Sus scrofa: one gene and its partners. The protein of the gene in region 2 purifies or fractionates together with the protein of the main gene of each other region. This does not show direct contact. Links are inferred from orthologs where the notes say so. Each region holds a gene or a part of one and is shown on either strand. Other genes may lie near its edges. The genes, in order: COPS5, CDKN1B, CDK1, SPDYA, CCNE2, XPO1 and CCND3.

What was found.
Region 1: the proteins of CDKN1B (region 2) and COPS5 purify together in Homo sapiens (affinity purification with western blotting; 11 studies listed by BioGRID and IntAct, with this or other methods). This does not show direct contact. The link is inferred for Sus scrofa from reciprocal best matches to the Homo sapiens genes CDKN1B and COPS5.
Region 3: the proteins of CDKN1B (region 2) and CDK1 purify together in Homo sapiens (affinity purification with mass spectrometry; 8 studies listed by BioGRID and IntAct, counting the BioPlex papers as one, with this or other methods). This does not show direct contact. The link is inferred for Sus scrofa from reciprocal best matches to the Homo sapiens genes CDKN1B and CDK1.
Region 4: the proteins of CDKN1B (region 2) and SPDYA purify together in Homo sapiens (affinity purification with western blotting; 3 studies listed by BioGRID). This does not show direct contact. The link is inferred for Sus scrofa from reciprocal best matches to the Homo sapiens genes CDKN1B and SPDYA.
Region 5: the proteins of CDKN1B (region 2) and CCNE2 purify together in Homo sapiens (co-immunoprecipitation; 5 studies listed by BioGRID and IntAct, with this or other methods). This does not show direct contact. The link is inferred for Sus scrofa from reciprocal best matches to the Homo sapiens genes CDKN1B and CCNE2.
Region 6: the proteins of CDKN1B (region 2) and XPO1 purify together in Homo sapiens (affinity purification with western blotting; 4 studies listed by BioGRID). This does not show direct contact. The link is inferred for Sus scrofa from reciprocal best matches to the Homo sapiens genes CDKN1B and XPO1.
Region 7: the proteins of CDKN1B (region 2) and CCND3 purify together in Homo sapiens (affinity purification with western blotting; 9 studies listed by BioGRID and IntAct, counting the BioPlex papers as one, with this or other methods). This does not show direct contact. The link is inferred for Sus scrofa from reciprocal best matches to the Homo sapiens genes CDKN1B and CCND3.

What each region holds. Positions count from the first base shown.
Region 1 is NC_010446.5:67,754,028-67,757,527, forward strand, and holds part of COPS5 (COP9 signalosome complex subunit 5), read left to right. Parts: intron 1-1,704; coding exon 1,705-1,853; intron 1,854-3,500. UniProt on the Homo sapiens protein: Probable protease subunit of the COP9 signalosome complex (CSN), a complex involved in various cellular and developmental processes.
Region 2 is NC_010447.5:59,733,032-59,737,209, reverse strand, and holds the start of CDKN1B (cyclin-dependent kinase inhibitor 1B), read left to right. Parts: upstream 1-1,378; 5' UTR 1,379-1,420; coding exon 1,421-1,895; intron 1,896-2,441; coding exon 2,442-2,563; 3' UTR 2,564-2,571; intron 2,572-4,178. UniProt on the Homo sapiens protein: Important regulator of cell cycle progression. Inhibits the kinase activity of CDK2 bound to cyclin A, but has little inhibitory activity on CDK2 bound to SPDYA. Involved in G1 arrest. Potent inhibitor of cyclin E- and cyclin A-CDK2 complexes.
Region 3 is NC_010456.5:64,236,989-64,240,488, reverse strand, and holds part of CDK1 (cyclin-dependent kinase 1), read right to left. Parts: intron 180-3,500; coding exon 23-179; intron 1-22. UniProt on the Homo sapiens protein: Plays a key role in the control of the eukaryotic cell cycle by modulating the centrosome cycle as well as mitotic onset; promotes G2-M transition via association with multiple interphase cyclins.
Region 4 is NC_010445.4:110,426,751-110,430,250, forward strand, and holds part of SPDYA (speedy protein A), read right to left. Parts: intron 2,113-3,500; 5' UTR 2,095-2,112; coding exon 1,860-2,094; intron 1-1,859. UniProt on the Homo sapiens protein: Regulates the G1/S phase transition of the cell cycle by binding and activating CDK1 and CDK2.
Region 5 is NC_010446.5:41,803,500-41,807,683, reverse strand, and holds the start of CCNE2 (G1/S-specific cyclin-E2), read right to left. Parts: upstream 2,801-4,184; 5' UTR 2,778-2,800; intron 1,843-2,777; 5' UTR 1,817-1,842; coding exon 1,803-1,816; intron 1,715-1,802; coding exon 1,618-1,714; intron 1,533-1,617; coding exon 1,476-1,532; intron 528-1,475; coding exon 376-527; intron 1-375. UniProt on the Homo sapiens protein: Essential for the control of the cell cycle at the late G1 and early S phase.
Region 6 is NC_010445.4:80,293,016-80,296,515, reverse strand, and holds part of XPO1 (exportin-1), read right to left. Parts: intron 1,463-3,500; coding exon 1,268-1,462; intron 1-1,267. UniProt on the Homo sapiens protein: Mediates the nuclear export of cellular proteins (cargos) bearing a leucine-rich nuclear export signal (NES) and of RNAs.
Region 7 is NC_010449.5:37,179,663-37,183,764, reverse strand, and holds the start of CCND3 (G1/S-specific cyclin-D3), read left to right. Parts: upstream 1-1,302; 5' UTR 1,303-1,687; exon of another isoform or gene 1,688-4,102. Other genes in the region: TAF8 (transcription initiation factor TFIID subunit 8), read right to left, coding at 223-379, 1,162-1,206. UniProt on the Homo sapiens protein: Regulatory component of the cyclin D3-CDK4 (DC) complex that phosphorylates and inhibits members of the retinoblastoma (RB) protein family including RB1 and regulates the cell-cycle during G(1)/S transition.

The DNA of each region.
Region 1 (3,500 bases), on a different chromosome or scaffold from region 2:
CTTTTTTAAAATATTACAGTTAAATGTGCATATGTAATTATTAAATTTTTTATTTTTAAAATTTATGAAAGTCTATATCATATTTCAGTTTAACAAATGTGGGTATGCATGTGAGTGTGTGTAGCAATACTCTAAAATACAGCTCTGGTTATAGCGATGTGGAGGGATTATAGGTATTTCCTTTTTTCTGTATATTCCTCTACATTTTCCAAATTTTCTATATAACTATTAACTTTATTTATTTATTTATTTATTGTCTTTTTTTTGCCATTTCTTGGGCTGCCCCCGCAGCATATGGAGGTTCCCAGGCTAGGGGTCAAATTGGAGCTGTAGCCACCGGCCTACGCCAGAGCCACAGCAACGCGGGATCCAAGCCACATCTGCAACCTACACCACAGCTCACAGCAATGCCAGATCCTTAACCCACTGAGCAAGGCCAGGGATCGAATCTGCAACCTCATGGTTCCTAGTCAGATTCGTTAACCACCGAGCCACAACGGGAACTCCAATATAACTATTAACTTTATAATCAGAAAAGCTACAACAAATGTAATTTTTAAAATGCTGATATAAGTACTAATTCTGGAAGTTCAACAAGAAAAAATATAACAAAATTAGCTAACAACCATTAAGCCTTTACCAGGTGCCATGGACAGTCCTAAGAGCTTTATATAATATCACTACAATTTAATCTTCACAATAGCTTTAGGTAGAAATTATCACCTTCCTTCCCCATTTTCACAGGAAGGCTTGAAGGCACAGAAAAGCAAAGGCGCTCTCACAAGGCCTTCCAGTCTGCAGCAGGGCCAGAACCTGGACTCAGACCTGTGTATTTGGAAGCTTCTTATAATAACACATATTAGATTTAAGCAGTCAAAAAGAAAAATTCCAAACTTAGTATTAAAATTATGAAAGGGGAAGAACTCTACATTTGAACTGCATGAGCTTTGGGATCACTTTTTGCAAGTATAATTTGACCTCTTACTTCACTGACTATCTACTTAGATTTCTTTTTTTTTTTTTTTTTTTTTTTTTTTTTTTTGTCCTTTTTGCCATTTCTTGGGCCACTCCCGGCATATGGAGATTTCCAGGCTAGGGGTCTAATCGGAGCTGTAGCCGCCAGCCTACGCCAGAGCCACAGCAATGCCGGATCTGAGCTGCGTCTGCAACCTACACCACAGCTCAGGGCAACACCAGATCCTTAACCCACTGAGCAAGGCCAGGGATCAAACCCGCAACCTCATGGTTCCTAGTCGGATTCGTTAACCACTGAGCCACAATGGGAATTCCTCTACTTAGATTTCATAGTGGAATTATCTGTAAATGAAAGATTCTATATATAACATGGTTGTTTGGGGGTTTTTTTGTCTTTTGTCCTTTTTAGGGCCGCACCCTCGGCATATGGAGGTTCCCAGGCTAGGGTTCTAATTGGAGCTATAGCCACTGGCCACAGCCACAACCCACAGCCACAGCAACTCCAGATCTGAGCCGCATCTGTGACCTACACCACAGCTCACAGCAACGCTGGATCCTTAACCCACTGAGCAAGGCCAGGGATAGAACCCGCAATCTCATGGTTCCTAGTAGGATTCATTTCCACTGCGCCACAACAGGAACTCCAAAAGATCCTATATAGAAGAAAATTTTGTTTTTTTTAATGATAGACTTGTTCTATATATAGACACAATATCATTTTCCCCACAGAATGCAGACTATACCACCGGTCAGGTCTTTGATTTGTCTGAGAAATTAGAACAATCAGAAGCCCAGCTGGGACGAGGGAGTTTTATGTTGGGTTTAGAAACGCATGACAGAAAGTCAGAAGACAAACTTGCCAAAGCTACACGAGACAGGTAAGAGCAAATCTATTCCTCACTCTTTTCTTTCAATATTCAAATTCCTTATGGCTCAACTTACTTATAACTTAGAATGGTACTTGAATATTAACTTCTTTGGGCCTTTAAGAGTTGTCAAAAGCAGGTTTCAGCTGAAATTCTTAAGACGGTAACTAAGAACATCAGAGTCTAAAAGGTCTAGGTAGTGTATGAAAAATTCCCAGTTACCTTTTCTAAGTTCAGCTAGAAACTGTAAGAACGAAAACTAGTCCATTGCTGGACCTTTAAAAAACAAAAACTTGCAAAAGGATGCCCTAACCTGTTCTAACCTTATCATCTAAAGGATTAAATTAGAATTTCTTAAATTTAAAGTTTAACCCCATAAATATCTGATAAATGATTGTATCTCTCTTAATTTTATGTAATAATTCTTTATACAGTATTTTAGTATCCCAAATTTTACTACCAAGAATTTGTTATGAACTTGGGATAGGTTCTCTAATAACATAGGAAATAATTACATGGTGGTCCTTCAGATGCATACAGGATTGGAAAGACTACCAAAAAGCATTTACTTTCACAAAATTTTGAATTGTAATGTGATAGTTAGGAATAGAGAGGGAGGGAAAACTGTGTTGACATCTATATAAACCAATACCTTGGTATCCATTTTTTAAAAACCTGTACCAGTTGGTAAGAAAGAAAAGAGAGAAGGGAGGGCAAAGTGTATTAGAAGTAGATGCCATCTTGGGTTACAATGATCTCATTCCTTTCTTCTCCATGGGTTTTTTAAAGGTATAGAACTAGTAGCCTGGATAAAAATTACATTTTTCTTTGACATGAGATCTTACTTTTGATACTTGATCTTAGTATGTCATTGTGCTCATGTATCTTTATATGTCTCTGATTTACAATTTCATCTGCATTTAAATCTAAATTTCTTATGAAGCAAAAATTTCACTGTGGGAATGTCTCAATTATATAAGAAAAGTAGTAAGAACAAAATTTAAAATAATTTTTAAAAACGATTTTTAAAAAATAGGGAATTTTCAGAGCTCACTTGTGGCTCACTGCGTTAACTATCTGGCATTGTCAGTGCAGCAGCTCAGGTCACTACTGTGGTGCAGGTTCAATCCCTGGCCCAGGAACTTCCACATATCATGGGTGTGGCCAAAAAAAAAAAAATTAGAGAATTTTGCTTTTAGGAGTAACTTTATAAGAATTGCATCTCTTCTGAATATTGGTAGTGTTTTATCATTTTCTTAATCAATTCTAAAATACAAGTCCTTCACTCACTGACCTAACTTTGGCTTTGAATTGTTCAAAGGATGTTTGTGATTATTTCAGGGAGAAAAAGCATAAGATTCTTTAAAATCTTTTTTTTTTTTTTTTTTATGTCTTTTTTGCCATTTCTTGGGCCGCTCCCAAGGCATATGGAGGTTCCCAGACCAGGGGTCGAATTGGAGCTGCAGCCACTGGCCCACACTGGAGCCACAGCAACGCGGGATCCGAGCCATGTCTGCAACCTACACCACAGCGTTGCCAGATCCCCAACCCACTGAGTAAGGCCAGGGATCAAACCCACAACCTCATGGTTCCTGGTTGGACCCATTAACTACTGAGCCATGATGGAAACTCCTAAAATCATTTTTAAAAATTATTCTA
Region 2 (4,178 bases):
GTATTTGGCGGCGGGACTCAGGTAGAGGAAACTGCTACAAGCCGGGAAAGAACTGAAAAATATAAAAGAGGAGACGAGTTCCCACACGCAGACCAAGTCAGTGGCCTTAACAGTGCTTGGGAAGCAAGAACCTGGGCCAGGGGTGTATCCTCGCTTTTTTAAACGAAATGTATCTGAGACAGCTACTAAGTTTATTAGGGACTTGGGAGACCAATAGAGTTTTTGATCTCGAAGCCCTTTTCTTGTTTTTATTGAGGGAGAGCTTGGGTTCAGAATACATTACAAATGCAGCATCTATTCCAGTCTACTTATAGAAAGACGTCCTCCTGGGCTTCCCCCCTAAGCCCCCTGCCTCCCCTAGAACAGCACAGACTTCTAGGTTAAGGGTGAGCTAACCACTGCTCACCCCCAGCTAAGGCACCCAGGCTCAGGGGCTCCCCGCCTCCCCCGCTGAGCGAGCGGTGGGGGCCCCCCCGGGAGAGAGCCCAGCTGGGGGCCGAGCGCCCAGCGGCGAGCCCAGCTGCCCGCCCCTACCCGCTCGGCGAGCGAGGGGAAAATAAGATCGCCCTCGGCGAGGAGAGGGAGGTCGGGGCTCCGGAGCGGAGCGCAGCGCAGGGACCAGAACCCGCCACCTCTCCGGCCAGGCCCCTCCCCGGCTCCCCGGCCTTTTGGCGAGTTTGTCTTATTTTTAATTTCTCCGAGGCCAGCCAGAGCAGGTTTGCTGGCAGCCCGGCACCTCCAGCAGTCACGCGACCAGTCGAGCTCCCGGCCGCGCGCTCGGCGGCGGCGCGCTCGGGAGGCGGGGAGGCGCAGCGGCGGCTCAGGGGCCACCTTAAGGCCCAGCTCGCCAGTCTCGGCTGGGCGGCTCCCGGCGCCGCGACCAATGATCTCCTCCTCTGTTTAAATAGACTTGCGGTGTCAATCATCTTCTTCTTCGTCAGCCTCCCTTCCACCGCCATATTGGGCAACTAAAAAAAGGGGGCTCGTCTTTTCGGGGTGTTTTTCTCCCCCTCCCCTGTCCCCACTTTCTCGCCGCTCCGCGACTCCGACGCCGGCAAGGTTTGGAGAGCCGCTCGGTCGGCGGGACCCGCGGGCTCGCAGCGGCGGGGACTCGGACTGGCTCTGCCCCCTCCTCTCTCCGCTGCGCTCCTCTCCCCTCCCCTCCCCGCCCTCCAGCTCGCCCGTACACTTGATCGGCGGAGACTCGGGGCTGCCTGGCCCGGGCTGCCCCTCGCCCCCTCCCCCAGCCCCAGCGCGCTCCTGACGCTCGGGCGCTTACTCGTCGGTGTTTGTTTCTCTTGGCTCGGAGGGCAGCCGCAGGGCTTATAAGAGGGGCTCGGGCTGGGTCGAGGCGTTTTGTTTTGTTCGGTTTTGTTTTGCGAGAGCGCGAGAGAGGCGGTCGCCGAGCCCCGGGAGGAAGATGTCAAACGTGAGAGTGTCTAACGGGAGCCCGAGCCTGGAGCGGATGGACGCCAGACAGGCGGAGTACCCCAAGCCCTCGGCCTGCCGAAACCTCTTCGGCCCGGTCAATCACGAAGAGTTAACCCGGGACTTGGAGAAGCACTGCAGAGACATGGAAGAGGCCAGCCAGCGCAAGTGGAATTTTGATTTTCAGAATCACAAGCCCCTGGAGGGCAAATACGAGTGGCAGGAGGTGGAAAAGGGCAGCTTGCCCGAGTTCTACTACAGACCCCCGCGGCCACCCAAAGGCGCCTGCAAGGTGCCGGCGCAGGAGGGCCAGGGTGTCAGCGGGACCCGCCAGGCGGTGCCTTTAATTGGGTCTCAGGCCAACTCAGAGGACACACATTTGGTAGACCAAAAGACTGATGCACCGGACAGCCAGACGGGGTTAGCGGAGCAGTGCACTGGGATAAGGAAGCGACCTGCCACAGACGGTAATGACCCTTTCGAATGCATGAAACGTCTGTTTGTCTGCCTCTCTCTGTTTGTCTGCCGTGCTGTTTTCCCTGCTTGAGGATCTTAAACCTCCGCTTTCTTTTCAGCGCATTCTGACTTAGCTCTTGGGGAACACACCTTCCTCATCTTAGGTTTTAAATGCTATTTGGCTAGCTGCTGGTCTGTTTATGACTTTTAAGTCTGAAGCATGAGACTGTGCTATCTGATAATTTCTCTAACTGAAAACATCGCGGCTCCTCCCCGCTAGCCAGCTGTAGGTATGTGACAACGTTGGGATGTTTATCAACCACCTCCCTCTTCGCTTTGGAGAGAGAGAGATTTGGGGCGTAGAATACACTTTCTGTTATGTGAAAACAACCTCATTTTGTGCCCTTAAAGGCCACTGGGAATGACGGATCCAGGATGGTGGGTGGAGGTGGTGGGTTTTTTGTCCCCTCAGTATCGAGCCAACTTGTGTCAGCCATTGTTTTTTCTAATAAAGATTATTTGTGTGTGTTCTTTTTAAAATTCCCTCCTGCCTTTAGATTCCTCTCCTCAAAACAAAAGAGCCAACAGAACAGAAGAAAATGTTTCAGACGGTTCCCCGAACTCGGCTTCAGTGGAGCAGACGCCCAAGAAGCCCGGCCTCAGAAGGCGTCAAACGTAAACTGCTCGGTGGGTTGATCACTGGAAGCAAATAAGTGACACCCGATTTGGGCTGAAGGAACTCATGGGTTTTCAAACACCAAGATACCCGATCTTAGTGGTGTCTGGCAGATTAGAGCTTGTGGGGTTTTGTTTGTATTTTATGAGGTCCAAAAAAAGGAGGAATGGGAAAGACTGGGCATCAGGGTGGGGGTACTATAATTCTTCCCAGTTTCTCTGTCCTGAGATCATTTTCCTTTGAAGCTCCCAATGATTAGAGCAAGTGTCCCAGGCAAATACTTGCAACCAAGGCCCTGTGGGTAGGAAGGTCAGTTCCCTGAGAGTCCCATCAAAACGGTGTTGGGAACAATAGGTTCTTTTTCCATCTGAACAAGAGCGGGGGTCTGCCTCCATCCCACTTCAGGAGAATTCATCTCCCAGAGGACCAAGCTGACTCTAACAGATTTTGAGCCATACATGGAAAAAAATGGCAAATAAATGATCCAGTTAAAACTTTGAGGGAAAAGTTAGGTACAAATGGCTCATATCTGGTTAATCACATGGTTAGAAATGTGAATAGAGAGGAGTGTGGCTTTCTTTTATCTATCGTTTTCACAAAGTGTCACTTGCCCTGTTTTCTGATCAGTGTGGGGGATGGAGAAGGAACCTGTGTATTTAAAAAAAACCAAAATGGAAGGCTCAAAAACGCTAAGGTTCCTATGGAATTTCTGATAACACTGAAGTTACAAAGCAGAAGTTAAGTAACTCTGCCAGAGTAAGCAATCCAGGAACACGTCAGCATGTGTATGCTAATCGTGCTATAACAGGATAATTTGGATATTTGTAGGGGAAATGGATAGTAGATACCAGGGCTGCCACTGGTTAGGGCTACCCCGAACAAGGCAAGTGGACATTTTTCCACCTACTAAAATCTGATCAATGTAAAAAACTAATTTGCATAATTCAGCCCCCCAGCTTTACATGGATTGGTTTCCATAATGATCAAACTACATATATTAGTTAATAGTTTGTACACTCCTTACAGACAATGACCGTGACCTCTTTTTTTTCCCCTCCACAAACACCCTCATAGCTTAGCATTTAAAGAGATCCTAAGAGATGTTGACATTAACTTTCAAAATCCTCATTTATAAAAATTTTAAAATAAAGAACAGGGATGAAGGTAGGGTTCAAGTTTGTTGTGTTTTTACATCAGTGTCACAGGTAGGACTTTATTACATACGTCTGATATCTTTCAGAGCTTATACAACACGGCACTATCGAACCCTACGTTATAGCTGTATATGAAGTGAAAAAAATTTCTGAGTCAACCTTAACACCTGTGGCTCTTGTTGGTTGGTGACTCGTGGCCTAGCTCATCAGATGAGCCACAGCAAATCAGACCTACTGGATTTTGATCTGGCCGCATTCTGACATACAGAGAGGCATTTGTTAGTAAATATTGCCAGTTCAGCGAATACAGGAAATAGTAGTAAGGACCTCTTCTCAAGCATTCATGTGTGTATACTCTTCATACGACTGAGAAACTAGTTTTTTTTTTGGGGGGGGTGAATAGAATTTTCTTTGGTGAGCTTTTCTATTTCCAGTTATTTTTCAAATTTAGAAAATTTTGCTAC
Region 3 (3,500 bases), on a different chromosome or scaffold from region 2:
ACACTCTGATATTATACCATACCTGACTATATTTGGATGGCGAAGTTCTTTTAATAGAGATATTTCTCGAATGGCAGTACTAGGAACACCTTCCTCTTCACTTTCTAGCCTGATTTTCTTCATGGCTACCACTTGACCTGTAGTTTTGTGTCTACCCTTATACACAACTCCATAGGTACCTGAAATAGACAAAGTAAACATCTGCTAGGTGACACCCTCCTCAAACTAAAGATTTTTAAACATGATTGATCCCAGAGTTCCCACTGTGGCACGGTGAAAACAAATCAGACTAGTATCCATGAGGACACTAGTTTGATCCCTGGCCTCAGCCAAGAATTGGGCATTGCCGTGAGGTGTAGTATAGGTCTCAGGGGCCCCTTGGATCCACTGCTGCTGTGGCTGTGGTATAGGACGGCAGCTGTAGCTCAGATTCAACCCCTAGCCTGGGAACGTCCATATGCTGCAGGCGCGGCCCTAAAAAAATAAAAATACAAAAAGGAGTTCCTGTCGTGGCTCAGTGGTTAACAAATCCGACTAGGAACCATGAGGTTGCAGGTTTGATCCCTGGCCTTGCTCAGTGGGTTAAGGATCTGGTGTTGCCGTGAGCTGTGGTGTAGGTCAAAGCCTCGGCTAGGATCCTGCATTGCTGTGGCTCTGGCTGGCAGCCACAGCTCCAATTAGACCCCTAGCCTGTGAACTTCCATATGCCACGAGCGTAGCCCTAGAAAATACAAAAAAAAAAGAAAGAAAACAAAATAAAAAAACCCTCCAGGACATAGACTTTTGTATATAATTTATTAAAAAAAAAAAATAGGACAGGAGTTCCCATTGTGGCTCAGCAGTTTATGACTTTGTCTCCGTAAGAATACAGATTCGGGAGTTCCCGTCGTGGCGCAGTGGTTAACGAATCCGACTAGGAACCATGAGGTTGCGGGTTCGATCCCTGCCCTTGCTCAGTGGGTTAACGATCCGGCGTTGCCGTGAGCTGTGGTGTAGGTTGCAGATGCGGCTCGGATCCCGCGTTGCTGTGGCTCTGGCATAGGCCAGTGGCTGCAGCTCCGATTCGACCCCTAGCCTGGGAACCTCCATATGCCGTGGGAGCAGCCCAAGAAATAGCAAAAAGACAAAAAAAAAAGAATACAGGTTCGATCCCTGGCCTTGCTCAGTGGGTTAAGGATCCAGTGTTGCCACAAGATGAGGCATGGGTCACAGACGCTATTCCAATCCAGTGTTGCTGAGGCTGTGGTGTAGGCCTACACCTGCAGCTCTGATTCTACACCTAATTTGGCAACTTCCATATGCCGTGGATGTGATTGTAAAAAGAAAAGCAGAACAGAGTTTATATAGCATCAGTTTGCCTTGACAAAACTATCCTTAATATTCTAATCAAGCAAGTAGTAGGTCATTATTTGTTAGAGGCCTTTTCTGAAGTATGGCTATCTTTGGAGAAACTTAAAAAACTGTAGAATAGACCTCCCTAGATATTAGAGCACTGTAACTGCTTTGAAGTTACACTCATGTCATAGAATAACAGTAAAAGCTATTCAACAAAATTACCATACACTTTAGGGGGTTAAGACTTTTCTAAATTGTCCAACCCCAGCTTAAAAAAAAAAAAAAAACAAACCAATTATCTAGGGATCCTGTATATGAACTGGTTTTTAGCTGATTGGTCCATCGTCTCCCTTATTGCCATCTGTTTCCTCCATTCATTCATACCAGGATCCCTTATATTGACCTCGTTGCTCATTATCTGAAGCCCTTATATTAGCATCAACTTCAAAGTGGATGTGAGGCTTTCCGTAGATAATACGAACTTGAATAGATTAAATATTTAATAAAATATTTTCTTTTCTGGATGAGTATTGTTGACTGTTCAATGTATGCATGAAGTATTCTACATGAAATTTTCTGAAAGTATCACTGTGACTCCTGTTAGTATTATTTCCTGACCCCAAATTTTTACACTATTTTATGCCTACCTTGTTGGGTAGGACATTTGACAGGAGAGAAGTTTCCAATTTGCAAATGATCCTTTTTCTCTAAAATGGGCTGGAAAATTAGAAAATTGTGACTACATGAGCTTTCTAAAGTATGGATACAATAGGCTGTAGTTAACCTCAGTGTTTTTTGCAGAGTGAGAGGGTACAACTATGAGTAAGATGCTTCCTCTCTGGCCACAACAGAAGTTTCTATCCTTGACACCTTATGGGATTGATTGTTTTTTCTTTTTTCTTTTTAGGGCCACACATGTGGTATATGGCATATGTAGGCTGCTGGTGCTGGCCTACACCTGTCACAGCAATACCAGATCAGAGCCGCACCTGCGATACATACCACAGCTCAGGGCAAAGCCAGATCCTTAACCCACTGAGGCCAGGAATCAAATCTGCATTCTCATGGATACTTGTCAGGTTCTTAATCCATTGAACCACAATTGGGAACTCCCTGTCTTGGTATCATTTTAAAGACATAATTTGACATAAAATCCATTGCATATCATTTGATTAAATTTAGATTAACTGTGCTTTGGATAACCAAAATTATTGAAGACTATGTAGGATTAATCTTATTTGCTCTTCATAACCATCCTTAAAAGTAGCCAACTTTAGGAGTGCCTGTGTGGCTCAGCAGGTTAAGAACCTATCTAGTATCCATGAGGATGGCGAGTTCAATTCCTGGCCTTGCTCAGTGCGTTAAGGATCCAGCATTGCCACAAGCTGCAACATAGGTCACAGATGCAGCTCTGATCTGTCATGGCTGTGGCATAGACTGGCAGTTGCAGCTCCAATTTGACCCTTAGCCTGGGAACTTCTAAATGTCACAGGAGCTGCCACGAAAAGAAAAAATAAAGTAGGTAACCTTCTCTAGACTTAAAACCTACATTTTTCAAATGTAAATTGTACTTGCATTAAACACAAAAGCAGGTAAGCTAGAAGCACCCTCATCTGGCACACCATTTACACTCAGAAGATTAGTCATTTGTGGAATATAGCCAAATAGGCAGTTAATTTTAAATACAAAAAAATTTTTTTTAGTATTCTTACTTTTCCCTCAAGTGTACAGCACTCATAGACCTAAAATCTACTTATAACAACCATTAATTTATAGTAAACACTCAAGAATTACTGAGTTTTAAACATCATAAGTGCTCTATGTCTCCCTCCTGACTCTGAATTATCACTTCTCATTGAACTACTAGAATAGAGCTCTAGTTAAATAGAACAAAAGGATTCTACTGATTAAGCACCAAAAATATTTGTATGATACAAGGTATATGCTCTGAACTGAATATTTAAAACTTAAAAAACATTTGCTATGGTCAAATTATAAAGCTGCTGGTGGTAAACAAAAAAAACCTTTAATCAACAAATCTTTAGAGTACCTACTAAATGCCAATTAAGGTTCCACATCATGGCTGTAACCATGCTATGATCTAAAAAGATGTTTTCTTAAAGACACGAAGGAATTCAAAGACTAATGTTACAACACTCAGACTT
Region 4 (3,500 bases), on a different chromosome or scaffold from region 2:
TTGGAAGTTCCCGGGGCTAGACATTGAATTGGAGCTGCAGCTGCTGGCCTACACCACTGCCACAGCCAATACTAGATCCAGGCCACATCTGTGACCTACACTGCAGCTTGTGGTTACAAGGATCCTTAACCCACTGAGTAAGGCCAGGGATGGAACCCACATCCTCATGGACACTAGTCATGTTCTTAACCTGCTGAGCCACAATAGGAATTCCTCCCCCTTCATTTTGAGTTAAATAACAAAGCATAACTTCTTAATATTGCCAATGGTCAAATACATGGAAATTCTAAGGATAAGTACTGATTTTCTGAGAATAATTAATCTCTGCCTTATTAATCCCATTTCTATTTCTTAAACCATCTAAAATGGTAGAACCAGGTTATTTCGTCTAATTTCTCATGTTCAATTATGAATAATAAAAAGTTTATGGATAATAATTTTGCTTACTGCCTTAACTCAAAAAAAAAAAAATCCTTGTCTTTCTCGGCTAGTAGAAATACTATAAAGGAGTTTCTTTTTGTCTATTTTTAAGAAGCTTATCAGCAAAGTAGCAGTTTCATGATCTGAACAAATCCACATTCAACTTCATTATATGACCACGGTGATAAAGCATAGTTAATTTTTAATAATATTCCCCAAATATAATACTGGAACTTCTCTAGGTTGACTAACTTTCCAAGTTTGCTCAATTTTAGCACTGAAAGTCCCAGGAAACCCCTCAGGCCCAGTGACACCAGGGTCAGTTGGCTCCCCTGAGACTTTCTGAAATAGTTTACTTGAGGTCAAACAAAACTCAAACTATGAACTTGAACTGCCCAGAAATGTACATTGACACTTGAATTTAAATAGTCTATGGGAGTTCCCGTCGTGGCACAGTGGTTAACGAATCTGACTAGGAACCATGAGGTTGCGGGTTCGATCCCTGGCCTTGCTCAGTGGGTTAAGGATCTGGTGTTGCCGTAAGCTGTGGTGTAGGTCACAGACAAGGCTCGGATCCTGCATTGCTGTGGCTCTGGCACAGGTCGGCATCTACAGCTCTGATTCGACCCCTAGCCTGGAAACCTCCATATGCTGCGGGAAGCAGGCCTAGAAAAGGCAAAAAGACAAAATAAATAAAGAAAGAAAGAAAAGAAAAATAAATAAATAAATAAATAGTCTAGAAGCTAGATGAATCTGAATTTCTGCTCCAAAAGTAATCAAAACAAAAATTCAGCATTAAAAAAAAAAAAACAAAAAAAACGGACTTCTCATTGTGGTGCAGCAGAAATGAATCCGACTAGAAACCATGAAGTTGCAGTTTGATCTCTGGCCTTGCTCAGCAGGTTAAGGATCCAGTGTTGTCGTGAGCTGTGGTGTAGGTCCCAGATGCAGCTCAGATCCTGCATTGTTGTGGCTGTGGCATAGGCCAGATTTGACTCCTAGCCTGGGAACCTCCATATGCTGAGGTGTGGCCCTAAAAAGCAAAAAAAAAAAAAAAAAAAGAACTAAGTAAAACAAAAACAAATTTGGTTGGACATAGAAAATCTATACATGGAAAATAACAGCATATAGAATTTCCATTGTGGCTCAGCAGGTTAAGAACCCGACTAGAATCCATGAAGATGAAGGTTCGATCCTGGCCTTGCTCAGTGGATTAAGAATCTGGTGTTGCTGCGAGATGTATTATGGCTATGGATAGCAGCTGCAGCTCTGATCCAACCCCTCGCCTGGGATCGTCCATGTGCCACAGGTGTGGCCCTTAAAAAAAAAAAATGACATTTTCTTTGATCATTATTAAAATGATTAAATAGATCTTCATATTCTCTCATTTCAAAGTTCCATTATTACAATTAACCATTGCAACAATATTTTAAACCTACCAAATAATTTAAAGAAAGCAGTCATTTCCTGACGCTGTATAACTAGACAGGGTCCTTTGGGGCGTTTAGACTTGTTGCTATTATGTGCATTTTTTTCAGATGCTGGCCAACTATCTTTAAAAATAGGACGCTTCAGATTAATGGGTTTTTTGGGCTGATGTGATCTATTTGACCCTGATTTTACATGTACAGTGACAGTAGGTGGTGTCTCGCAACACAGCTGATTATGTCTCATTTTGGTTTCCCACGATTCCTGTAAATATAAAACAGTTATTTATCACACTTTTGTTCATTTCTATATAAAAACAACTAACTGGATGACACTATCAGATGCAGTCATAGGAAATGTTACTGAACTTGCTACTAAAATGTTATTGATGACAATGACTCACATGAGAAACTGCTTTTAGAAATTAGTGTTAAGAAAAGCTATACTTCCTTTGGGTAACTGATATACCTCTTCTTCCCAAACAATAAGATCCTGCATATCATTTTGCTTTGACTACTAGAGCAGACAAAATCAAATTTTAAAGTTAGTTAAAGAAACTATGCTGAGTATATAGTCTATTTGTGGTACTCTTTTTTCCTGATAATTTTTTATTATGCTTGAATTGACATAATTTTATCATATGATTATTATGTCATTTTTTTTAATAGAATAAGGCAAACTGTTTCCAGAACTAAATTATTATCAAGTATTAGATTAAAAAGCAATCTCATACACACAAAAACATATTTTCTAACTGGTAAATTCCTTGATATGTTATAAAATTCACTAGTTCAATAAGCATTTATTGATATTTATTCAAAATTTAAAAATAATTCTTGCAAAGAAATGCATGGTATATGCCCACTGAACAATTCTCATAAATTGATTCCTTTAATTCCTATAGTCGAATGTATGACAGGCTATTTAAGCGGCTGATTACCAGTGTAAATGAGTATAACCTGTTACAGTCTAATAAAAATGGAAACAAAGTTAATTCATTGATATTTAACAATAAGCATAATCACTACCATGTTTGGTGGTAATCAGTTCACAAAATTACTAGTTAGTATTATTTTTATGCTCAAGGTATTTGTATAGTAATAGGAGATGGAATTACGAGTAGCCAAAGCAGGAAACTACTCTAAGACCCTAATGAGAACCTCTGAATCCATAACTCACAGTGACCCAGGCAGCCATGCCTCCCTTGATGTTCAAGGAGTTAGGTACAGATTCTCCTTCCTGACCCTCAGAAACTTCCCTGCTGAAGGAAGGAATGGAAAATAAGATTGGATATAGTGGGGCTAGATCAGCACTGTCCAGTGTAATGTAAGCCACATATGTAATTTTATATTTCTAAAGCCACATTTAAAAAGTACAAATAAGTGAATTTAATTTTAGGAGTATATTTTGTGTAACCCAGTATATCCAAAATATCATTTTAACATGTAATCAATATAAAAATTAATGAGATACTTTACATTCTTTTTTCAAACTAAGTCTTTGAAATCTAGTGTGTATTTACACTTATAGCTTAATTCGGATGCTAAAATTTCCAATAGTTAAAAGTGAAATGTAGTCTTACCAAAACAATGATGTAGTGTATAAAGGAAAACAATTTTACACTCCTTCAGTTTTTTATTTTTAATTTTTTT
Region 5 (4,184 bases), on a different chromosome or scaffold from region 2:
GGCGTCGCTGTGGCTGTGGTGTAGGCTGGCAGCTGTAGCTCCGATTTGACCCCTAGCCTCAGAACTTCCATATGCCCTATGGTGTGGCCCTAAAAGCAAAAAAAAAAAAAAAAAGGTAGTTCAGGTCTTCTGATAAGGCATATACTCCTCAGCAAGCAAATGAAAATAACTTTATAGAATCAATGTTTAAATACCCATGTCATTCGCAAATAGCACTACTCTCAGATAATATATGTTTAAATGCTAATAAAAAAGCAGTTTTTTAAAACAACTTTTCCTAGCCGTATAAAGAAGGCAAAAAAAGCTCAAAATAGCACCATATATTACATCAGTAAATTTTAATCTTTGACATTAAATTATTAAAATTTTTCTTACCTTAAATCAGGCAAAGGTGAAGGATTAATAAAAAGATTTTTAAATCTGTAATTTGTAAATCTGGAGAAGTCACTTGTTCCTATTTCTTTGTGGGGTGTTTCAATAATAATGCAAGGACTGATCCCCCCAGATAATACAGGTGGCCAACAATTCTGTCATTTAAAAAAATAATAAAGAGAATATCTGTGCAGTAGGAACCAGCTTTTGTCTTGGCTCTTTTATAAATGAAGCTAATACAGTCTATAGTTTTCCCCAAACACCATTGTTAGCTAACATTGCTGACAATCTAGTTAATCTGAATTCATATTTTATAAATAAGCCATATAGCTCATATCAATCTTCACAAAGAGTAACAGGTGGGATGTTTTAGACAATAAAATACAATCCTGGAAATACAAGACATTAGGTACTGAGGGAGAGGAGAAATAACAAAACACATCTGTAGTCAAATACCAATCACTTTCAAAATTATAAAATTCTCCCTCTATATTTAGCAATAGTGACCAGGGCACCTTGTTCCATAGAAAGCTGACTCCACCTCCCACACCCTCCGCTCATAAGGCCTGTCCTACTACTTTAGAATGCACGAAGGTAAGTAAAATCTTAAAAGTGGAATCAGTTACTTAAATACTTAGAGGACCCTTTTGCCAATCAATGCTGGTTTCAAAGACAACCACTGTCTTTTAAAATGTTTTTTCTGTACAACACATAGGAAGAAAAGGTAGCAAAGGGCTGAGTGCCAGTCTGTCAGTGACCTCACAGCCTATTTGTGCCCCAGAAGCAGCTATTAGGACCCTCCACTATAGTCAGAGAGGGAACAAAGAGCAGTACATTGGACAGATTAGGCGGGCCCTGGTGCACCAGGCAGCTCCAAGAGGGAGGGATTTACAAAGAGAGACCAGCTGCTTCAAGGCAAACTTACTCTGCAGCTGTAGAGGATTCAGGGACAGAAAAACCACCCAAAGACAAGCACCTTCCTGCTGACCTCTGGAGGCATCAAAAGTGTCAGAGGAATCTTCCCATTGCGAAGCAATTAACACAATGCTATTCTTTTTCGTCCTGCCTTAGTTTTCCCCAAACCCAGCCCAGGTCTGCATTACCCTAATCTCATATTGATGTTTCTTAGTGACCTTCTCCTCTTTTCTTTTTTTGACATCCTGGAAAACAGAAAAGACCATTTGTTAAACTAAAGCACCAGCAAGGAATTTCCTCTCTTTCTCTCTCTCTCCCCTTTTAACTCACCTGGGTCGTTTTTCTTTTCTTGGTCTGAATTATTTGGGCTTCTTGAGGGGAATCCGTCTGACTGGACTGGGGCTGCTGTTTAGCTTGTAAACGGCTACTACAGTTTTAAAAAGGAAGTTTCATTAGTAAGGCATGCGTTTCAAAGGCAGCAGTTAACTTTGAAACATATCTCCAAGACAAATTACCTGCGTCTTGACATTCTCTTCTTTCAGGTGTGTGACACCTCTGGAGGGGAAAGAGGAAAAACCAGAGTCAAATACATTGTCATCCATACTCTCTGAGTGCCAGGTAGACGCTGATTCAGAGGTTACAACCAAGTCCCTCAGGAGATGACCTGAGCCATCTACCACGGTGTCTTCTGCACTGTATTAATTATCTCATGATTTTGGACACATGCCAGTATTTCCTCAGCTGAATGTACAGCCGGGACAGTCTTCAAAAAATCTGTAAAGCACCGCCAGAGCCCCGAACGCTCAGGGAGGCAGATGTATCTTTTCTGCGTCCTGTACCCTCTCCCCCCGACACCCCGAGCGGGACTTGGGCAGCGCCCCCACTTCCCGCCTCCCATCCTGGACGAGCGGCGGAGAGAGGGGGTTGTGGAGGCGAAACGCTGTGGAGAAGCCGGTTCCGCGCCAATTTGGAGAGCGGCGGCGGCGGGGAAGCAGGGGGCGGAGGGAACTGGTGTCACGTACTTCAGTCTCCTTTCCCTCCTTCCCAGCCCCACGGGACCCTGCCCTTCGCTTAGAGGGGCACCGGGACCCCGACTCCAGTTGGGGGATGGGAGTGAAGGAAAGCGAGTTCAATGAAAGAAAAGGGGAAAACTGGGCTGGTGGGGGAACTTTTCTCCCCGTTAAGGGTTCCCGGGCCCACATCCTTTTTCCTGCAGGATAGCTCTCCAAATGGAGGTGGCACAGAGGAGCCCCTAGTATGAGGGGCTTTTCCCTGGCCTCCCACTCAGGGGCAGCCCTCCATCCCCCGCCGCTTCCCCGGCCCCTTGCCAAGGGTCGTGACAGGGACAGAATGCCGAGACCCATCGCCCCCAGCCGCTTAGTTCTCAGCCCTCCCACTTTCCCTCTCCCAGGCTCCCGCCCACGGTATGGATCGGCCCAAGGGGTCTCTCTCTCCTCCCGCATCCCGCCCTACGACCAGCAGCTCCTCACCGCCAGACCCGCTACCGCTCGACTCTCAGCTGGCGCCGGCGCCAACCCAATATATAGGCCGGGCCAGGCCCGCCCCGCACGCATGCGCCTCAGACTGACACCTCCGGACAGCGCGCTCCCCTCCCCCGCGCGCCCGCCAGCGCGCCCGCAGGCCCGCGCGCAGCTCCCTGCAGTCAATTCGCGCCCGCCCACCTCGAGAGGCCGCAGGGCCGGCTCGTCTAGGCCCTAGGTCCGCGGTCACCTGCATTTCACCTGCCCGTGTGGCCCGGCAGCTAGAGGGAGTCGCAGAGGCTCTTCCCCAGCAGCCCAGGTCCCCGCCGCTCGGCTTCCGCATCTCCCCCCAGTACTTTTCCGTCCCGTCTCTCCCTCAACTTTCCGATTCCGGGAGTGTCAGGCCGCGGCCTGGGCTCGACGTACGGCCAGGTGGAGGCAGCACAGGCGAGTATGGAGTGGTCAGGAAGTGGCCATCCTGTGGCGCACCCTGGCTGTCCCGCCAAGGCCTCCAGCAACCCGGGCTTTCCTAAGAGACTCGGGGACCTAGAAGGCCCGCCCCGGAGGGAGGGGCGCAGCGTTGGCTGGCGAGCTGGCCAATGGGAGGCGAGGACGGCAGCACAACGTGGAGTGGCTGCAGAATGTAAACACAGCCAGGCGCGCCGCAGGCCACGTGTGTGTAGGAGAAGGCTGTGGCATCCGAGGGCAGCCATGCTCAGGGATGCCTATCTTGCACTTTGCTTCAGCCTGCCGACTACACTATGCATCAACCCTGCTTTCCTGCTCTCCGCTCCGCAGACCCGTTTATCCTCCGCGTGGGTGGGTCACTCCGCCCCCTGTCCCTGTCTGACAGCTTCCCACTCAGAAGTCCCAGCACAGGAAACGCTCGCGCCAAGTCGCGCCCTCCCTCTCTATCCTCCCAACCTCCAATTCTGGGGCCTCCAAGGGTATACACCTCTCCCGAGGTGCGCCTGGAGTGGGACTGCCCCTTCCTCAGGAGACAATAGTTCTCCCGGGGCAGCGCCCGTCAGGGTGGACGATTCCACCACGTGTAGGCCCCGGACCCGCCCGTCGCGCCCCGCCCAGCGGCCGCTAGCGCGCCCTGCAGAGCCCGCGCTAGCCGCCCGCGCGGGAGGGAGCCTCCCGCCTCCGAGCGGTAATGGGGGGCGGTCCGACCTATTTCCCTCTTTCCCCGCCCTGTATCTAAATTTTGGGTTCCCTCACTGCCTCTACTGACGCTCCGCTCCAGTGCGTCCCAAGATTGGACATCTCCAAGTAGGACATGCCGTTTATACTCTGCAAGCAGGTTTGCTGCAGGAGCATGGGGCGAGGCACGCTGGAGGGAACAAAGACCCCTGCGGCGGAGGAGCGGTGCAACGACTTTCTTGAACCCGCGGCAACTCGTGCCAGACGCTG
Region 6 (3,500 bases), on a different chromosome or scaffold from region 2:
AATTCAGTATAAATGTTTGGAGTTTTTAGTGGATCCCATAAGATGTATGGCCTGCTGAAAAAGCAAACCCAAAGACAACAGAATTCACCTCTCAAGTAAGACAAAATTACTATTTATTATACCAATCACTTCCCAAAACAAAGGAATACAAGGTCATTTAATTATAAAGAGAACTCATCAAAAGCCACGTAAGAGGAGTTCCCATTGTGACTCAGCGGTAACAAACCTGAACAGTATCCATGAGGATGCAGGTTCTATCCCTGGCCTTGCCCAGTGGGTAAGGATCTGGCCTTGCTGTGAACTGTGGTGTAGGTCGCAAATGTGGCTCAGATCCAGCCTTGGTGAGCACACAGGCCAGTAGTTGAGCCATAGGGTGGGAACTTGCATATGCCAAGAGTGTGGCCCTTAAAAGACCAAAAAAAAAGCCACCTAAGAACCACGCACATTTTCTAGTAACTTTAACACAATCACTACCAACTTTTTTTTTTCTTTTTAGGGCGAACCTGTGGCATATGGAAATTCCCAGGCTAGGGTTGAATTTGGGCATCTGAGATCTATACCACAGCTTACGGCAACACCAGATCCTTAACCCACTGAGCAAGGCCAGGGATAGAACCCACATCCTCATGGATACTAGTTGGGTTCTTAACCCAACTCAGCCACAATAGCAATTCCATCACTACCAATTTGTGTGTGTGTGTTTGTGTGTGTGTGTGTGTGTGTGTGTGTGTCTTTTTGCCATTTCTAGGGCCGCTCCCGCGGCATATGGAGGTTCCCAGGCTAGGGGTCGAATCAGAGCTGTAGCCGCCAGCCTACACCAGAGCCACAGCTACGCAGGATCCGAGCCAAGTCTGCGACCTACACCACAGCTCACAGCAACGCCAGATCGTTAACCCACTGAGCAAGGGCAGGGACCGAACCCGCAACCTCATGGTTCCTAGTCAGATTTGTTAACTACTGCGCCACGACGGGAACTCCCACTACCAATTTTAATGACCTTGAGACCACTGTACAGATTAGAAAATTGTTACCTACTGCATAAAGGTATAGACTTACATGTACCTTTTCTTCCTCTTGGTTAATACATTTCCCCATTCTTTATAAGGATATACTATACTTATAAAAACTAAAAATGTAAACCCGCCTGTTTATTTCAACAAATACAACTAAAGCCAATTTTTCAATAAATGCAAGTTGCTATTTGAACAATCTCAAATGTACCTTGCTATTATAATTTCTTGTACATTAAAAAATGCAGATCACATACCTTATTTATCATATTCAATGTGCATTCAAAAACAGCATCAAATATTTGAGGTATTTCAGCTGTTATATGTCCTCCTAACTTGTTGACAATAATAGCCATAGTACTGAGCACTTCTGGTTCTCTAGCAGCTGGGACATTTCTCTGATAATCAATGAGAACGGCATCCAACAGAGGAGGAACAAAATTTTCAGCTACCTGTTAAAAAAAGGAAAAACAAAACAAAAAATTTTCAACATTAATTTAGGCACTTGTTAACTCATTAAGTAGCTAAGTCAATATCTCTAATTTAGGTTGAGTATCTGCTGAAAACTGCTAACTCCTATACTTTAAGTTTAATGTATTAAAATTTTCTACCAAGAGATCATGATAGTCTGAGGGGGCCATAGACAATGTAGTTTAAATCTGTTAATTATTAAAGGAAACTGAGGCCTCAAATCAAGTGACTAGCTCTAATGCAGCAGGACCAGGATTCTAAGGTACTGTGTATGAGGGATGGTTAACTTCAAAGTAGAGACCCACCACTTACTCTCAATAAAGTCTTATTAAGGCGTAACTTTCATGTTTTTAATAGGTTCTCCATTAAGATGTTTAACAATAAATACAACCAATGTTTCCTTTAAAGATTACTGGTTAGTAGTGTCCCACTATGCAAAACAGGTCTAGTAAGATTTTTAACAAGCAAAAAATTATTGTCCTTTTACCCATTTGGTTTTTTTTAAAACTAGTTCTTACTTATTTTTCTTGATCTTCAAGTCTGAGACATGCTTAATGTACAGCACTGTATAACTTTACTTACAATTTTCTTATATAATACACAGCAATGTTAGTTCTATTTTTTTTTTTAAAGTGCTGCACTGCAGCATATGGTAGTTTCCAGACCAGAGGTCGAACTGGAGCTACAGCTGCCAGCCTACACCACAGCCACAGCAAAGGAGGGGCTGAACCGAGTCTGCCACCTACATACACCACAACTCATGGCAATGCCAGATGCTTAACCCACTGAGCGGGGCCAGGGACTGAACCCCCATCGTCATGGGTACTAATCAGGTTTGCTAACACTGGGCCACAAGAGAACTCCTCAGCAATGTTAGTTTTACTTATCGTTTTTGTATATCACATCCTTAGTTCTTATTTATATTAAAACTGAAAGTTTCATCTTTTGACTACCTTCATTCAATTCTCCCTATCCCATCCCTCTCCTCTGGTAACCACAAATCTGATCTCTTTTTCTGAATTTGTTGTATGTTTGTTGCTAATGTTAACTCCTGTTACACAGCATAGTGATTTGAAACATCTCATATCTGTGACTCATTTATTTTGTAATTAGAGGTTTGAACTTTTTTTTAAAGTTTTGTGGGTTTTTTTTTTTTTTTGTCTTTTTAGAGCTGCACCCTAAGAGGTTCCCAGGCTAAGGGTCCAATGAGAGCTGTAGCTGCCAGCCTATGCCAGAGCCACAGCAACGTGGGATCTGAGCCAAGTCTGCGACCTACACCACAGGTCACAGCAACACCAAATCCTTAACGCAGTGAGCGAGGCCAGGGATCGAACCCACAATCTCATGCTTCCTAGTCGAACTGTTTCTACTGCACCACGACGTGAACTCCAGAAGTTTGTACTTCATAATCTACCTCACCTATTTCTTTCCTCCTCTACCCTCAAGTATCTGAAATTATTTTCCTGTAAACTGGCTCTTTTAATTCAGTCTCAAAACTCAAATCTTAGTTGTAAAATAATACCTTTCTTGTTATTAACACTAATACTTCTGAAATTACTGCCCAAATTTTTATAAATTATGAACTTCTCAATCCCTTCAGTTCATCCTATTTTTTATTTTCCAATTTTTTTTTGTCTTTTGTCATTTTAGGGCTGCACTTTCGGCACATGGACATTCCCAGGCTAGGGGTCTAATCGGAGCTACAGCTACCAGCCTACGTCAGGGCCACCGCAATGCCAGATCTGAGCCGCCTCTGTGACCACATCACATCTCACGGCAACGCCAGATCCTTAACCCACTGCGTGAAGCCAGGGATCAAACCTGGTTCCTAGCTGGATTCCTTAACCACTGAGCCATGACAGTAACCCCTACTTTCCAATTTTAAGTTAAGTTCTAATCTCATAATGCACCTTTAAAACCTTTTGGTATTTAAGGTTGATACCTTAAGAATTTCCTAAAAATTTTCCCTATAAATAGGAACAATATTGAAATCCCAAAATTATGAAATAAATGGCATAC
Region 7 (4,102 bases), on a different chromosome or scaffold from region 2:
CTGCGACCTACACCACAGCTCACAGCAACGCCGGATCCTTAACCCACTGAGCAAGGCCAGGGATCGAACCCGAAACGTCATGGTTCCTAGTCAGATTCGTTAACCACTGCGTCACAAGGGGAACTCCACTAGGTTCTTCTTTTTCTTAAATCCTAATACTCTCTCAAGACAGAGCACAGATGTTTGGTTGACTCAGAAGGCCCCTTGTTTCCTGGTACTTACAGCTCTGCAGCATCTCTGTCAGTGTTTCCACAGATGCTTTCTCAGCGCTCTCAAACCCTGCCTCTGTTAACAGGGAGCTCACAACCACTTGCAGAGTTCGCCTCCGGGCCAGATGGTAGTTATCAGCAGGGTTAGTGGACTGTTTACTTCCTGATCTCTGTAAATCAGCAGCCCAGAAAGAGAATACTTTCATCCTCAGGACGAGGATGCAGTCATGTAGTTCACATATTGTCAATGGCAAACAAAGGTTCTTTTGCTAAATCTTTATGTATCAGTGTGGTAGCTCCTGATGTTTAGACTTACAGCTCTTCGCCAAATAACTGAGCACCCAAGTGGCTCTAAATTCGAAAACAGCCTTTCTGCCTAGGTAAAACTTATCAATTACAATAGTACAAAATGGCCGTTTCCTACTTTCTATTTTGGATTATCTGAATATATAGCTGAAGAAACATGCAGGATAGAATTGAATTCATTGGTCCATCTCCTAGAAAAAAAGTAATCTCTCTTTTGTCCCTCCCATCTCCACACCATTAACGAGGAAAATTAAAACAACAAACAACACATGCTGCTGAGTAGAGGAGGGCAAATGATAAGAACATCGACAAATTAAAAAGCTAAATATTTTGAAACAGGAATCCCTCCCAACTTTGGCGGGCCAATAAGAAGGCGAAAAGAGCCCCACTGGACCAATCAGGAGGTGTTCCGGGTTCCCAACCCCCAACAGAGAATGAGCCAATCAGTACACAGGTCCACCAACTCCCGAGGCCGCCGCCAAGTCTCGAGGAGGAGGAGGGGGGCATATACGGCCTGAAAGACCTTCCTCCACTCAGAGCATGTGGTGGGGCCCTATTTCTGGGTGTGAACATGTTGCCAAGGCTAGGGGGACATTACAGAATCCCCAGGCTCTCTGGGCTTCCGCCCCGCGCCTCCCGCCCTTACCGTTCCGGAGGCCCCGGCCCCGGCAGTGGCCGCCGCGTCGGCCATCTTGCTCTGGCGTAATGTGCGCGAGCGCACGGCAGGATGGGACTTGTAGTCACCCGGCGGGGAGGAACCGCGAGGGGGCGGGGCCGCGCGCCCCGTTGGGCTTTGTGGGGCCCAGCCGGGTCGGGGGTGAGTCTGGTTATCCCGGTTCACGTGACCTGTGAACGGTGGGTTCAGCGAGCCCCGGAAGTGGCTAGGAAAATGAGCCCTCGGTTTCACACCTATTTAAAAACGAAATCGTTTTTCATAAAAAGCACATCCCTGGAACGCTCCAAACTTGCCTGATTGTTAGCCACACCTGGCTAGGTCCGGCGGATCCCCGTGACTTTACTCTCTGGAGGAGGGGTCTTGGGCATCTGTATTCTTAAGTTCTCCAAGTGAGTCTCCTGAGCCTGGATATTTGGGGAAGCTTTGTTTTGTGCTGACGGACCCAGAGCCAGCCAATGGCCCACTTGGAACGAGAGCCAGCAGTCACGTAATCCAGGTGTGCCACTGCATCCGGCTGCCTTCTCGCCCTCAATTAACCCTCAGGTATTTTTGGGGCGAGCCGGGAGGCGTCGGCGGTAGGAGGCTGTCCGGTGCCTGCCTCACTCCCAGGCCGTGGAGTCTACGTAGTGCCTGTGGTTTTCTGCGGTTCACTCGCGGGTCAGCCCCTCTGGATGGGGGTCCTTCATGCACCGCGCCTCGTCTGTCTCCGTTTGCGGGTGCCCGGCAGCTCGCAGAGGCTGGGTTTGAATCTCAGCACTCGCCAGCTGTGGGACTTCGGGCAAATTACCTAACCTCACTTTGCCTCAGTTTCCTCTTTCGTGAAATTAGGGTGGGATGGGTAGCCGCGGGGGAGGGAATAAGCTAATATACACAGAGTTTATCACTGTGCAGACTGAGAGTAAGAGGTCAAGAAGCAGCGCCTAATGTTATTTATTTCTTGCGTGGCGAGTGGATGAGCAGAAAACGCTCACATGCAGAAGTCGGGGAAACCTGCGCCACGCCTGCCCCGCCGCGCGCACCTGAGCGTGGGGGGCGCCCGGTCCCCTCACCTGGGGCACAGGGGGCAGGTCTGACGGTCGGGGTCGCTGCGCGGGGTGAGCCACCCGGAGAAATCGGGCCCCAAACCTGAGTTGAGCAGAGCACCCAGCCCCTTTGTCTCCTCCGCCCCCCCTTCCCCACTTCCTGCCCAGCTTTAAACTCGGGATTGGCGGCGCGGCGCCGACTTTGTAAACACGCCGCGCCTGCGGCGGTGGAGACTGGTTCTGTTTGGGCGTCTGGGGGAGGGGTGCACGCCCCTCCCCGCGGCTGGAGGTGGCGACCCCCCACCTCGCCAAAGACAGAAACCAGAGGCGGCGGCGGGAGAGTGTCTGCGGCCACGGCCAGTGCTCCGGGGGGCTCACCTGCCGAGGAGGTAGGCTTGAAGGCTGGAGAAGCCAAGATAGATGGGTGTCAGCATCTCCCCGCTTCGCTGGGGCCTTCGAGCTGAGGCGGGACACCTGGGCGGGGAGTCGGAGGTGGCGACCTGATCAGCCTCCTCGATGTCTCTCAAAGCTCGGTTCACTTTCTCTCTGAGTTGCAGAGGCTGAAAGGCAGAGAGCTCCCCCAAAGCTCTGAACTTTCTCTGTGTCCACACAGGCCCTCTTCAAACTGATCTGGAAGCCTAGTGACTTCACTGGGCTGTCTGTCGTCCTTCTTCATAATTCAGAGATGGGGTGGGAGGCAGTAGGGGGGCAGACCCAGTGTGGGCAGCGAGCCTTGGGGGTCCTCCTGCCAGCCAGGGCTGAGGGAGGAGGCCAGAGGACTGGAAGGAGGAGCCTCTCAGTGGGGGTCCCTTTGGTGTCTGCGGGTTACACAAGTGACGGCTTTAGCCTCTTCTGTGTCTTTTAATGTGTCAACAAGAGGATTAACTGAGGAAATTGGTTGCTATTATTCAGAAAGCATTACGGTATTCATTTGCACACATTGAGCGCCTAGTATGTGTCTGGGATGGTGTGTGGGCGCTGAGGGTGCAGTGATGTTATTTGTCCACAGTGATCTAGCCTGGGTCATAGAACACCAGAGATAAGGTGCCAGGTTGGGGTGGCTGGGAAGGCTTCAGAGAGAAGAGGACATTTGAGTTGGCTTCTGAATGATGACTAGTCCCCAGGCAGAGGTGTGATGGGAAGTCTTTGCTGGGCACTTATTGATTCTGCAGAGCTGGACTCGCCCCTGACTGTGGCATTGGGCCTTGGAAAACAGTGGGCACCCAGAAGCCGTCTCGGCATTCTTTAACCCACTGTCTAGACATGAAGAAGAGATAGGAATGTAACAGGATGACTTTAGGGAAAGGCATGTGTCCGGGCTGGTCCCCAAGAACCCAGAAATTTCCAGCTGGACGAAGCTAGGAGAGTCCACCCCAGGGGTGATGTAACAGTCCACACAGTCCTGGGGCACCACCCACTCCCCGTCCCTGGATGCTGGGACTGCGTCCTCTACCAAGTCCTTGCACTGTGCCCTTTCTCTTTGGGACCAGAGAGTGAAGAGAACTGGATTCCCCCCATGCTTCCCTGTAGGTTCTTCTGCTTTTTCAGTCCCCAGGCTCCCTTGGGAGATGGCTGACACAGCAATGGATTCAACCATCCAACACCTGTTTGCTGTGGCCACACTGTCTGCACAGGACATAATGGTTGACAAGTCAGAGCCTCTGCTCCCCTGGACTTTAGGATCAAAAGCGACTCTGAGAATTCCAGCAGGAACCTAGTCTGTCCGGTCCTTGAGCCCATGACCTCCGAGTGTCTTCTCTTTGCCATTTCCTTCCCTAAAGGGTCCAGAGCAACAGCTAGGGCTTCTATAGCACTGTCAAGTACCCTCCTAAATGGTTTTGGTGTGATGTCTGGTTTAATTCTTCTGCCCGTCCTGTGAGGTGAGCGCT